Linked DNA regions of Caenorhabditis elegans. The protein of the gene in region 1 purifies or fractionates together with the protein of each later gene. This does not show direct contact. Each region holds a gene or a part of one and is shown on either strand. Other genes may lie near its edges.

Region 1 (7,883 bases):
AGCAAAGATGAAATGAAGAAACATAAGATCACACATATCATAAATGCAACAACAGAAGTTCCAAATCTCAGAAGTCTTGGAGACATTCAACGTACAAAACTTTGGCTTGAAGATACTCCACAGACATATATCTATCCACATCTTGAACTTCAATCTGATCAGATTCAAGCACTCATTGCTGATGGGGGAAAAGTTCTCGTGCACTGTGTCGCCGGAGTGTCACGTTCTGCTTCCATCTGTTTGGCTTTCTTGCTCAAATATCGGTATGTCATCTTGTTTTAGTTAGAACCAAAAATAGTCCAGAAACTCAGTGCTTTCCCCTATTATAAATTCTATTGGACATGTGCTTTCATGTGATATCATAAGTATCCAATAAATGGGAAGAGAGCACGTGCCGGAAAACAAAAACTAATGAATCTGATGTTTTCCCATGAACTAAAATAGAATGCACATATTGATTTTTGATCTATTTCCAGTTGCCGAAATCTTCGTGAAGCTTATCATTTGATGAAATCAAAGCGTTCAATGGTTCGTCCAAATCTTGGTTTCTGGCGCCAACTTATTGCTTATGAACAGGTATGTAACTGAAAGTTAAAGACATAAACACTCAAAATCTAGTTTGATCATTCTTATTTTCTTATCATTAGGTCCAAAGTTTATAATTTGTATCTTACAGAACGTCAAAGAAAATGCTGGTTCTGTTCGATTGGTGAGAGATGAAGCTCAACCAGAACAATTACTTCCCGATGTTTATCTTAATATTGCAATTCCAGCTAGACCAGCTGTAAGTTTACAAATCATATTTCAAACTACAGAAATTGACCCTTTTAATTTTCAGAGCCCGGAGCAAGATCCAAATATGATCCCAGATGAGCCACGAGAACGCCGAAATTCTGGATTCAAATCTAAATTCCGTCCAGTGCTTGAACCTGTGATGGAAATGGCTGAAGCTGTTTGCTGATTATCATTATTTTCCATATTTCATATCATATTTTCTTGTTTTTTTTCTGTTTTCCTCCCTTTCCACCTCCCACCATGCACACCAATTAGGCGCAATTACCACTTTTTTTCCCTGAAACGGGTCAGTGCTTTAGTTGTTCAATTTCAATTTCTTTTCAAATGTTATTCTATTCCTCTCTCAATTATATCAGAAATACGGGTCGAAATCTGTAGTTTCCGGTGCCATGTAAATAAATTTTGAGATTTATTAATTTTATCTTCATGTTGCGAATTTCCATTCAAACACAAGTTCTCGTAAAATAATCATTAGAAAAATTGGAGATGCAGATTATTTAAAAACTATTCGGACTTTGGACTAATAAAAATACAAAAAAATCGAATTCCTCGTCCCGACTAAAAATTAACTTGTGAAAGTTTTTTCTCCCATTTTTGCCAAAAAAACCAAAGCCCAAAAGACAACAGCCCTTGTCTCACCGCGACAACGAAATTTTTGAACTATAACGCGTGCCACTTTTTTCTTATTTGTTTCTCGCTCATAGCTAAAAACTGCGAAGAAGAAGGTTAATAATTCGAAATTCGATTTCAAAATGCCGCTGCCTTCAAAGGAGCTTAAATCGTTGTGAACTACAAGTCTCGCAACGAACAGGGCAGATACGATAGCGCGCCAGAAACGTTTTTCGAATTTGAATCAATTTTCATCCCAAATGCCCAAATATTTCTGTTTTCTCATTTATTTTATATGATTCATGATGCTTTAGTCTAGTGAAACGTAATTTTAAAAAATCGAATATTTTTAACGCTGCAATTCTAACCAGAAAATCTCTTTTTTTATCTAAAAATTTAAAATCCGTGTAACCATGGTCTAAAATGTTGAAATTGTAATATTTTTCTTACAGACCATCTACCTCAAAACGATTTTAGCCTAAGATATATCAAAAATTATCCCGAATCCTCGCAACAATGGGGGACGAAGGTTATCGTGGATGGATTAAACTCGAAATTCCCTGTTCTCTGCCAGAGCGGCAAATGGGACCCATAGTTAAATGCCATGTAGCAAAATTAGAGCCAGTAAGTTAGACAATGTGTTCATCAATCATTTTTTTTGTTTTAGGCATTGAATGAATACAACATCAAGGTTTTGACAAAAGGACAGGTTCAGGTTGTCGAAGAGCAAGATTGTGAGCCGTTTTATGAAACAAATTATGAAGTTGCGACCAGCAGGTTTTCACATGATCTAATTGCGGCGATCCAGACATATTTAAAAGATTTATCAACGGTTTGTTGCTGTCGAAACTTTCTATCGTATTCGTACTTTTCCAGGATCATCTTATGCCATTCCAACGTGGAAATCTCGTTCTTCACAGTTCCGATTTTTGGTCTTCCGAATTGACATGTCATTTGGTTGATATTCCGCTTGCCGCTGTTTTCTTTGGAAATATTCAAGGCGGAACATTCATTAATCATTGGGAAGTGTCTTTCTGGGATGACGTTAGACGTCGGAAGTCGGCAAGAACGAGGAATACTGAACCAACACAAGCCGATAAAATTGGAATGAACCAAATCAAAGTGGAGTTCGAATTCGATAAAATTGATTTTATGACAGTTCACTTCAAGCACTTTGAAAATGATTTTGAGGTTGCTGATAAAGATGCGAAGAGGACCAAACAAACAGTTACCATGTATTACCAGATTACAGTATGTTTTCAATAGAATTGGGAATAAAAATCATAACAAAAACTTTCAGGTTAGGAGAACTTCTATTCGTCGGATTATTGTTGATCCTGTCGTTCAAGATTGTAATGGTTCGGATCGGATTCGTGTACATTTCGAACTTAATTGTCCTGTTCTCATTAGAAGAGCCTACCGAACGGCAAAACAGGAATCGGTGAGCACACCCAAGCCGTAAACCATGAAATTTCGCGATTATGAAATATCGAAATAAGATGTTAATTACAATTTTCAGGAAAATCGGCACTCCGTCCCACATTATCGAAGATATTTGGTGATCAATCGTGGACGAAGCGCGAATCAGTATCCAACAGCTAAAGCAATAACGGATAGTCCTGTGTTCACAATCGAGTTTGATCAATCTGTTGGGGTAATAATTCAATATGCATCAAGTTTTTACGTGTAATTATTCCAGCTCAATGAAATCTACCGCTTACTTTCAAGACTTCGCATCCGTACTGGAGTTTCCATTGAATTCGCGGACATTCCTTCGATTGACTGTCTCATTTGGAGAGAGAATCCTTATAACCGTTGGACATTCCTAAATAATCAACATCTGTCGCCCACTCATTTCTCTGCGCCTATTTACAGAGATTTCATCACGACCGCATTTCCAAAGAAACATGAAGTATGTGGCTCTCGAGAAGTTGACACCAACAGGGAAAGAAAATTCGCCATCACTTATCTCCTGGAATGTCTGATTTCGAGAGGAGCAGTGGTTAAGGATCAAATTTTGCTTGATGAAGGAATATGGCACCGATTCCTTGAAGTGATTCTCCACTACTACACGAAAGATGACAAACTTTGTGAGGCCGGACTTGAGGATTTGGTTCACATGATCGATGGTAGAAAACGAATTGGATCATTGATCAAGTGTTTCGATAGAATTTGTCAAACGAGACAGAGAAACAGTCTGGTTAATGGATTAACAACTGAAGAAATGAGAGAGGGATATCAAAGAGTTCGAAAGATTATTTTCACACCGACTCGTGTTATCTATGTGGCACCGGAGACGTTGATGGGAAATCGAGTACTGCGACGATACGACCATGATGGAACAAGAGTTCTAAGAATCACTTTCCGAGATGATGATAATCAGAAAATGCGAACGAATAAAACTTCGACTATGCTTGAAAAAACCGTCAATCAATATCTCAAAAATGGAATTACTGTTGCTGGTCGTAATTTCGGCTATTTAGGAAGCTCGAACTCACAAATGAGAGATAACGGTGCTTACTTCATGGAAAAATATTCATCATCACAGTGCAGAGAATACGAACGGATATATCAAATCAAACCACCAATCACTTTCAATCCAAAGATCCAAGCTGCTCGAAAGAATTTGGGACGATTCGAGACTATTGACAACATTCCAAAAATGATGGCTCGTCTTGGACAGTGTTTTACACAAAGCAGATTGTCAGGAGTGAATTTGGAAAGATGCACGTATATGACAACGTACGATTTGACTGGAGGAAAAAATTTGAAAGGAGATGAATACACGTTTTCTGATGGAGTTGGAATGATGAGTTATCGATTTGCTCAAATGGTCTCAGAAGTTATGGATTTTGGAAAAGGTGTTCCCAGCTGCTTTCAGGTACCATAATCTTTTCTTTGGTGTTTCTTAATAGTTTTTTTCAGTTTCGTTTCCGTGGAATGAAAGGAGTCATCTCAATCGAACCTCTTCTTGACAATCTTCGCCAGTGGTCAATTTCGTATAATATCAGCAAACCGAGCGATGACAGTTCGTGGAGCTTGAACTGTATGTTTCGCCCAAGTCAAATTAAATTTATTTCAAAGAGACACCCACGTGATCAAGTGGAAATCGTCAAGTACTCATCGCCAGTTCCAGTGGCATTAAACAAGCCATTCATCAATATTCTCGATCAAGTTTCGGAAATGCAATCCTTGGAATGTCATCGAAGAGTAACAAATCGAATCGAAGAGTTACTGGACAGACAAATGCTTTCTTTTGCCCAACAAATGGTGGATGAAACTTTTTGCAGAAATCGACTGAAGGTTTGTTATTAAATTACTGATAGTATCCTCATTACTGTTATTATTCAGGAGCTACCTCGTCGCGTAGATATTGACTACTTGAGAACAACATGGGGATTCACATTGTCTAGCGAACCATTTTTCCGATCTCTTATCAAAGCATCGATCAAGTTCTCAATCAGTAAGTTTAAACGAATGAAGCTTTTTAAACAAACCATATTTGTTACAGCCAGACAACTCCGAAAAGAACAAATTCCCATTCCGTGTGATCTCGGACGGTCAATGCTTGGAGTCGTTGACGAGACTGGGCGTCTTCAATATGGTCAAATCTTCGTACAGTATACCAAAAATCTGGCCCTGAAACTTCCACCCAAAAACGCTGCGCGACAAGTTCTTACAGGAACGGTTCTCTTGACCAAAAATCCATGCATTGTTGCCGGAGATGTTCGGATTTTCGAGGCTGTCGATATTCCAGAACTTCATCACATGTGTGATGTAGTAGTATTCCCACAACATGGACCGAGGCCTCATCCTGATGAAATGGCTGGATCTGATTTGGATGGAGATGAATATTCTATCATTTGGGATCAACAGTTGCTTCTGGACAAAAATGAAGATCCATATGATTTCACTTCAGAGAAACAGAAGGCGAGCTTTAAAGAAGATGAAATCGTGAGTTTCGTTTTAACGAGATTACATAAATATATTTAATTCTAGTCGCAATAAATAATATTTTCAGGATGACTTGATGCGTGAGTTCTATGTCAAGTACTTGAAATTGGATTCCGTTGGACAAATCTCGAATAGTCATCTTCACAATTCTGACCAATATGGATTAAACGCAAGAGTTTGCATGGATTTGGCGAAGAAAAATTGTCAAGCTGTGGACTTCACTAAGTCTGGACAACCACCTGATGAACTTGAAAGGAAATGGAGAAAAGATGAAGAAACTGGCGAAATGATTCCACCTGAAAGAGCTGAAAGAGTACCTGATTATCACATGGGAAATGACCATACTCCAATGTATGTCAGTCCAAGATTGTGTGGAAAACTGTTTCGCGAGTTCAAAGCAATTGATGATGTACTCAAAATTTCGGAAGAACGAGACGAGCAAGTGGAGATTTCTATAGATGAAACTATCAAAATTGATGGATATACGGAATATATGGCTAGTGCAAAAAACGATTTAGCAAGATATAATGCTCAGTTGAGAGTGAGTTTTAGGAGAAATAGTTGAAAGATGACCATGTTTTTTCAGTCAATGATGGAAAACTATGGAATCAAAACAGAAGGTGAAGTCTTCTCAGGATGCATTGTTGACATGCGAAACAGAATTTCGGATAAGGATCAAGATGATATGTCATTCTTCAACACAAACCAGATGATCGAGACGAAATTGACAAATTTGTTCAAGAAATACCGAGAGATATTTTTTGAAGTAAAGCTTTCCTAAGCCAGTTACATATGTGTACATGCGTAATTTCAGGAATTCGAAGGCGGCTGGGAAGGTAACACAGAAGCATTCTCTCGTTACGGACGTGATAGTAATATTCTTCAACGACAATGTCGTGCTCCGACAGTGCAGATGATGAAAAAGGCCGTAGCTTGGTACAGAGCTTGCTATGGTTAGTTGGATAACTTGAAATAAAAATAAATACTATTTTAATTTCAGAGGAAGCTCGAATAACTCGAGAAAACAAGAAATTGTCGTTCGCTTGGCTCGCATATGACGTCATCGCAAAAGTGAAACAAGACAAAAGTCTTACAAGTGACGAAGTTAAGATGGGTGGAGCAAATCCATTGTACACAATGCTTGACGACCACAGATCTCAGTATCTTGTCGATAACTCGAGAAAATTCGAAGCTTTTCGACAATTTTCAACACCTAAAACTAGTGGAGAACAAGTGAAACGAGCTCATAGAATCATCAAAATGTACACAGAAACTTATCCAGGATTGGATGCAGTCTTATTCATGTTAGACGAATGGGCACGGATTTCAAATCTATTTGAAAATCAATCACTTCGAGAATATCATTTATCACTGCTATTTATCCTGTTTGCTACAAGGCAATTTTCTTCCGTTGATGGAAATGCTGCCAAGTTCTTCAATAAGGTCGATGAGAAAAGTTACAAGCAGAGTAAAACAATTGGAGACTTTGAGCCCAGTTTATATATTGAGGAAAAAGGAAAAAGTCAGATGGTGAGAAGAATATTTGTGTTATTTTTTTTATAATAATGACTGTTTTCAGATGGTGAAGTTTCTCGAATTTTTGGCCTCGCGAAAGTTCCGAAAAATGGCGAATCTCTCATTCTGTGCTCTTGATTTCTCATCAATTTTCATGCGAGGAGAATGGCAAATTTTCCATTTGGCCGCACTCAAAACCTACTACAACGTGTTATTCAATTTACGATTCGAAGAACTTCCTGTGTCAACTGATCCAACAACTACAGTTCGTTCAATAATTCGAGAAAACGAACCGTTCGTGATTGAATTACCAGCCAATTGTGATCGTTCATTGGTTCATCGCAAGCTGGTAGAGCATACTGGTGTAAAAGAGATATTCATGCGAAACATGGAGAAATCAGTTCGCTCTTCGGATGATGTGCAAAAAATCAATAGTGAGTTAACAAAATCGAATGGTAAACAGATTTAATTTTCAAATTATTATAGTGCGTCTTCTGGTTTCTACACGTGGAACTCTCGAGTCAATGTACAAGTTGCGTCAACTGGTTGCTGTAAAAGTTCCCATCAAAACGTACGTAACGGGACAAGATGTGTCTACACAGATGGCTCGATTGTGCTATGAAAAGATTGTCAGAGGACACATCAACATCTAGAATGTTTCTCTTATTCGTTTTTAGCAGTGTTTTCAGAGATTTTAAATGTTTAATATGGTTTTCATTTTAAATTTTATTTTTCTGTTTTTTTTTTGCATGTTTTAATTGGCATGCTTATTTCTGTTTCTTTTTCTCATTATATTTTCCTGTTGTTTCTTTTGCTGATTGATTGAAATGGATAGGTTTCTCCTTCTTTTCATCGTTTTCAGCGTTTCGGTTATCTGTTTCAATGAATTGTCTGTTTTATTACGAATCCGATATTTGTATTTTATTTGTTATATGCGTTTTTTCGTACATGATTTTCCTATTGGATAGAATATAGCCAGATTTCTTGAAAAATTGAAATGCTGTCGATTT
Region 2 (4,879 bases), on another chromosome or scaffold:
CGACCTAAGGATAACCACTGACTCTACAGTCCTCCGCTCTACCAACTGAGCTATCGACTGCACGCCGTTTTCCTCTGTTGAGAGAAAAGACCTGGCGGGAACAGAAAGTGTCAGTCATATAGAGCATTTTCATATGCGAAGTGTATAAAATTTATATTTCTACAAGAAGTTGCCTAAAATAGCCACAAAAATAGTGTTTTCGAATTTTCTTCAATAAAGGGATGTGGCTCAAAAACGTTGAGTTCCATCAATCATTAGGCATTTGGCAGGAAGAAAAGATTAGCTACAGCAAAAAAAGATAGAAAAGTAGTATAAGTATTTATTTTTCAAATACATTTTCCAGTCCGAATTCGGTCAACTACACGGGGCCATTAACCAGAACATCAACTATGGATACTGTTGAGTTGGAGGCATTGTTGAGGAGAGAACAACATTTCGTTGTACCATCGTACAGTGAAGTTATGCTCATGCAAAATACGATTGCTAATTCAAATGTAAGGTTTTTTTTAAATATTAAAATTTTAAGATCATTTGCTCCTGATAAATATTTATTAATCGCTCTGATAATATTGTAGACCAATTATCCAAATATTCGATGCCTGGACCCTGTGATTCTTCCACGACCATTCGTGAGTACAACTAACGAACATATCGTACTTCGGAACTATGGAGCAACAGAAACCGACAATTCACTATCTGAGCCCATTACAGCAACGCCGAGACCTCTTAGAGTTAGCCGAAGTATGACATTTGCTGCTCAAGGAAATCTCGAAGAATCAGCTGAGAATCTGAGTTGTTTAGAAAACGGAAGTAGAGCAAATCGTGCTATTCCATCGAGTCGGCGGAATTTGCCGTTACGTTCGTTATCGATAGGTGGTATTTCTGCTTGGTCCAATGGTTACAGAGAAATTGGAAATCCTGATGATTCACAACTACTCATTGAACCAGATGAACCACCTCCACCATATGAGGTCGGTTTTCAATTTATAATGGAAATGACAATTTATTTCTCAGGTTGCTCTCAGAATGTGTGCTCCATTATATGAACGCCTACGACGATCAATATCTTCACGATTGGCTTCAATTTCTCACTCGAGCTCGAAGGATTTGAAGTCGCTAACTTTGAAAAGTAGTTCTAGTAACAATAATAACAATAATTCAAACAACAATAATAACGATGATCCAGAACATCCATAAAATCGGGTATTTTTTCACATGCGGACCAATTTTAAGAATTGTTAAACGTTGGTGCTTGAAATAAATAATTTTTCTGATTTTTTTTTATTTTCAAGTTTAAAAAAATTGTGTTTCAAGTTATTCGATTAAAAGCGTTGTTTTTATTGCCTTATTAAATGGTAAAAAGCAATCAATTTTTAAAGGAGCGTCCACTGAATACGAGGAGATGGTCTCGGCACGAAATATAAAAAACTACAGTACCCTTGGAAGTATTGGCGCGGAAATTTTTTTTTATTCAGTTATTTATCTGTTCAGTTTTCGTATTTTTGATGTTAAAACTCCATTTTTCTCTTCAAAATTTGTATTAAAAATCACTGGGCAACGCATTTTCACTATTACAGAAGTATTTTTGATGAAATCTTCAAGAAATTCACATGTTTCTTTGTTTAAAATTTTAGGATTTGACGGTTTCGGTTTTTAGGCCAAAAAACTCCGTTACCAGTTTTAATTTCGTTCTGATTCCGTGAGGCAATGCTTCACTAATCACATTTTTCACGAAATACAAAGTCTTGCTTGAAAATTTAACAAAAAACTCCAATACTCTCGCAAAATCTTGAATATGGCCATTTTATTTGATGTAATTATTTCTTTTACAGATAAATACTTCAAACCAACCAATCCATCTATCTGACAAGCTAATGTCCAGAGATAAACCACCTCAACGTGAGGTTGGCGGACGTCGGTTGCCCTACGAAATGGGTTCGTTGAAGTTCGACGAAGACCCGTTCCGCGGACAGCGCCGGCGTCCGTGGATGTGCTTCAGAATCGGCTATCCGACAAGCGAGTTCTCATCAGAGCACTTCATGTACGTTCAAATTATTCAAAAATTATTGAAAAAACGTATTGTTTCAGGAAATTCGTGAAAAGGTGTCACACTTCGATGATAGAAGTAGGTATTCTTCTCGATGATGAACGGGAATTCCTGCAATATCAAGAAGTCAGGGAAGATTATCTTCTTCTGAAAAAGCTCATCGAGGAAGGTCTGCAGAAGTGTGAAACGATCTATGAAAAAGGACCGCTGTCGACTCCGGTTGTTTTTTTCATTTTAGACCAGTGCGGTAAGAAAAGTAAATTATACATAACGTGTATAAATATTCACTCATACAGACGAAGACGAAGTCCAAAACATGCTGGATATGTTTAGGGAGTCTTGTTATATCTTCCATATGAAACGCAACGAAATTCTCAACTGGATCAACGAAATGGAGTATGAAGAACTGGAGTGAGTAAATGTTCAGCATAACGTCGAAAAAATTCATATTTCAGAAGTGACTGCTCTAAATTTGCACAGTTCATCAAAGGAGTGGAAAATCTGACGGAATCCATCGCGATGCCCATGGAGGTAGAAACAGAGTAGGCTATCTAGAAGGAAAAAATAATTAAAAAACATCTAACTTTCATAGAGAATTCATCTTTGGAAAGAGTTCGATTGTATCGACCGAAGACTTTGTTGAAGACGCCCCTCACAAGCAGATCGCACAAGATCAACGCGAAACAAGGTATCGTTACCATGTTGTAAACTTTCTATTCAAAAATTTTGCAATATCTCTTCGTTCATATTAGACTTATGGCCTAGCTATTTCTTTCTTTTTCCACACGTCCAACATAGATAGACAGTTCGAGACGTAGAGAAAAACAGAAAAACCGTGACTAGTTGCTTCCCCTGTGATTGATATGCTTTTTTTTCACAAATTCGAAAAAAATAATCTGAATAAGCATGTTTTCACATCAGAATTTGTTAAACAGTGTGTTTGGAAATACTGAAATATTCCCTTGACTCGCAGGATTTAACGAATAATTATTTCAAAATTTTCGATTGTTTTTCTCAATAACATCAATAATTTTTCCTGAATTCCTGATATTGCTTTTAAAAATATATAATAGAATTGGTGACCTTTGTTAAATCATTGATAATCGCAGTGGCTTTTGTTTTTATTCTCGTTTCATAAACAACGTGAATCGTGGTAGCGGAAAAAAAACCACATTTATCGTGTTCCCATCTTTCCCCAGAAACCTGGCCGCGTTCCTTTTCACTGTAGTAAACGCGGATTTTTGTGGGCATACTGATTTCGTTAGAAAATACTTTTTCTTAAAATGCTAGAGCTCTCCGCGTTCTCTCATAATGTATAATTAAATTATCTTGTTTCAGACCAATTCGCCAACCGTATTCAATGGTCAGAAACCTCGCCCCCCCAGGGCTCCCGCCGCCTGGAATTTCGATTTCAAACAGTTCGCCTCCTGGATTATCTTCAGTTTCGCCAATTCCCCGAGCAGATACACGCGAATCCCGTTATTCCACCCCTCAACCACCCGGATTGTCAATTCCAGCACCACCTGGAATATCTCTTCCAACTCCACCAGGAATATCTCTTCAAAATCATCAGAATGATCAATTCGAGCAAGCTCATAGTACCATTTCGAGAATGAGCGAGAATAGTTCATCTTCGAGGCGTCGATTCCGCGATGAAGAAGTTCAGGAAGAAGAAGGAGATCATATTCTATCGTCTGAAGATGTACATGCTGCGCGGAACGTGTGTGAAACCAAAATCCTTGTTAGAGGAGTTCCGCAAAAGAACGATTCTGAGTTGGTAAGATCTATTCATTTTTGTGATAAACTGCAACCTGTGAGTTATTTCGGCAATTTCCGGAAAACTAATCTTCAATAAACACGAAATTAATATTAAAATTTTAATTTTCAGTCCAAGCTCATCAACGGATCAAAACTATACGTACGGTTCGAACGTCCGTTTGTAAAACTAGCTCACAATCTAGAACTTCTCTACGTTGTCAATTATGCTATCAGTTCTCGAAAAAGTATTGTTCGGGATCACAGTAAAGCAATTATTCGCGGATTGTTCGAAAAGGATTTTCTACTGAAGCTCAAAAGTAAATTCCTGGAAAGCTCGTTTGACAATGACACGTGGACTCCCGAGGGTACAGAATTGCTATTCGAAATCTTTCATTTGTTTTTCACAACGGCTCGATACAAGGGTGGATTCATGCTGACACTTCCGAGATTTGTAAGTTGAAATAAACTGAAAATTTTAAAAGTAAACATTATTATAGGCGCCGTCTTGGCATGATTTCTCGATGGCTTTCGATATTGCTGACATGGATGGACTTGAGGAAGCTGGTGTGGGTGATGATGAGCTTAGAAATCTTAGGAGGCTGATTGGTTACATTGAAACATGGATCAAACGGGCAGAACGGGAACGAAACCCCAGTCCATTGGCGCTGCGGTCATATTCAGTGTACGAAAAAGCTGGTTCTTCTGACAGTGGACGCCAAGTTTTATCTGAAAGTCGAGGTGCAGGTTCCAGCAATGTTTATGGTCATGACGAGGTGGATTTCGTCGATCACAGACGCAGAGACGAGTTCGGACATCGTGATAACTACCGGACAGAAAACCGTCGCCATAAAAGCCCGGACAATTTTGGAGAAGTTCACAGAAGGCTCGATGAGCAACAACAACAACGACATGAGGATGAATCATCAAGATATCGCGATGACTCGAGACAGTCTCGACGAGCAGATGATAGAAGAGATCAATATCAGTACAACGAATCAACATCTATGGAAAATCACTTGGGGTTTCACAACGGCGGTGGCACCGTCAGTGAGCACTCACGAGATGATAAATTCG

The links. The genes of interacting proteins can lie anywhere in the genome.
Region 2: the proteins of ego-1 (region 1) and znfx-1 purify together in Caenorhabditis elegans (affinity purification with western blotting, with the first as the bait; one study listed by BioGRID). This does not show direct contact.

What each region holds. Positions count from the first base shown.
Region 1 is NC_003279.8:7,650,310-7,658,192, reverse strand, and holds ego-1 (RNA-directed RNA polymerase), read left to right. Parts: upstream 1-1,854; 5' UTR 1,855-1,920; coding exon 1,921-2,028; intron 2,029-2,071; coding exon 2,072-2,236; intron 2,237-2,280; coding exon 2,281-2,655; intron 2,656-2,704; coding exon 2,705-2,845; intron 2,846-2,923; coding exon 2,924-3,058; intron 3,059-3,103; coding exon 3,104-4,285; intron 4,286-4,329; coding exon 4,330-4,707; intron 4,708-4,755; coding exon 4,756-4,867; intron 4,868-4,915; coding exon 4,916-5,358; intron 5,359-5,425; coding exon 5,426-5,899; intron 5,900-5,944; coding exon 5,945-6,124; intron 6,125-6,172; coding exon 6,173-6,311; intron 6,312-6,358; coding exon 6,359-6,888; intron 6,889-6,937; coding exon 6,938-7,307; intron 7,308-7,359; coding exon 7,360-7,526; 3' UTR 7,527-7,852; downstream 7,853-7,883. Other genes in the region: F26A3.4 (Protein-tyrosine-phosphatase), read left to right, coding at 1-263, 477-576, 677-784, 839-961.
Region 2 is NC_003280.10:9,211,828-9,216,706, forward strand, and holds the start of znfx-1 (NFX1-type zinc finger-containing protein 1 homolog), read left to right. Parts: upstream 1-1,874; coding exon 1,875-2,041; intron 2,042-2,088; coding exon 2,089-2,294; intron 2,295-2,343; coding exon 2,344-2,458; intron 2,459-2,502; coding exon 2,503-2,589; intron 2,590-2,639; coding exon 2,640-2,735; intron 2,736-3,385; coding exon 3,386-3,824; intron 3,825-3,935; coding exon 3,936-4,256; intron 4,257-4,302; coding exon 4,303-4,879. Other genes in the region: ZK1067.4 (Transmembrane protein 151 homolog), read left to right, coding at 344-494, 576-971, 1,015-1,197. UniProt on the Caenorhabditis elegans protein: Epigenetic inheritance factor which, in association with the Argonaute protein wago-4, mediates small RNA-directed transgenerational epigenetic inheritance and thus balances the transgenerational inheritance of epigenetic information.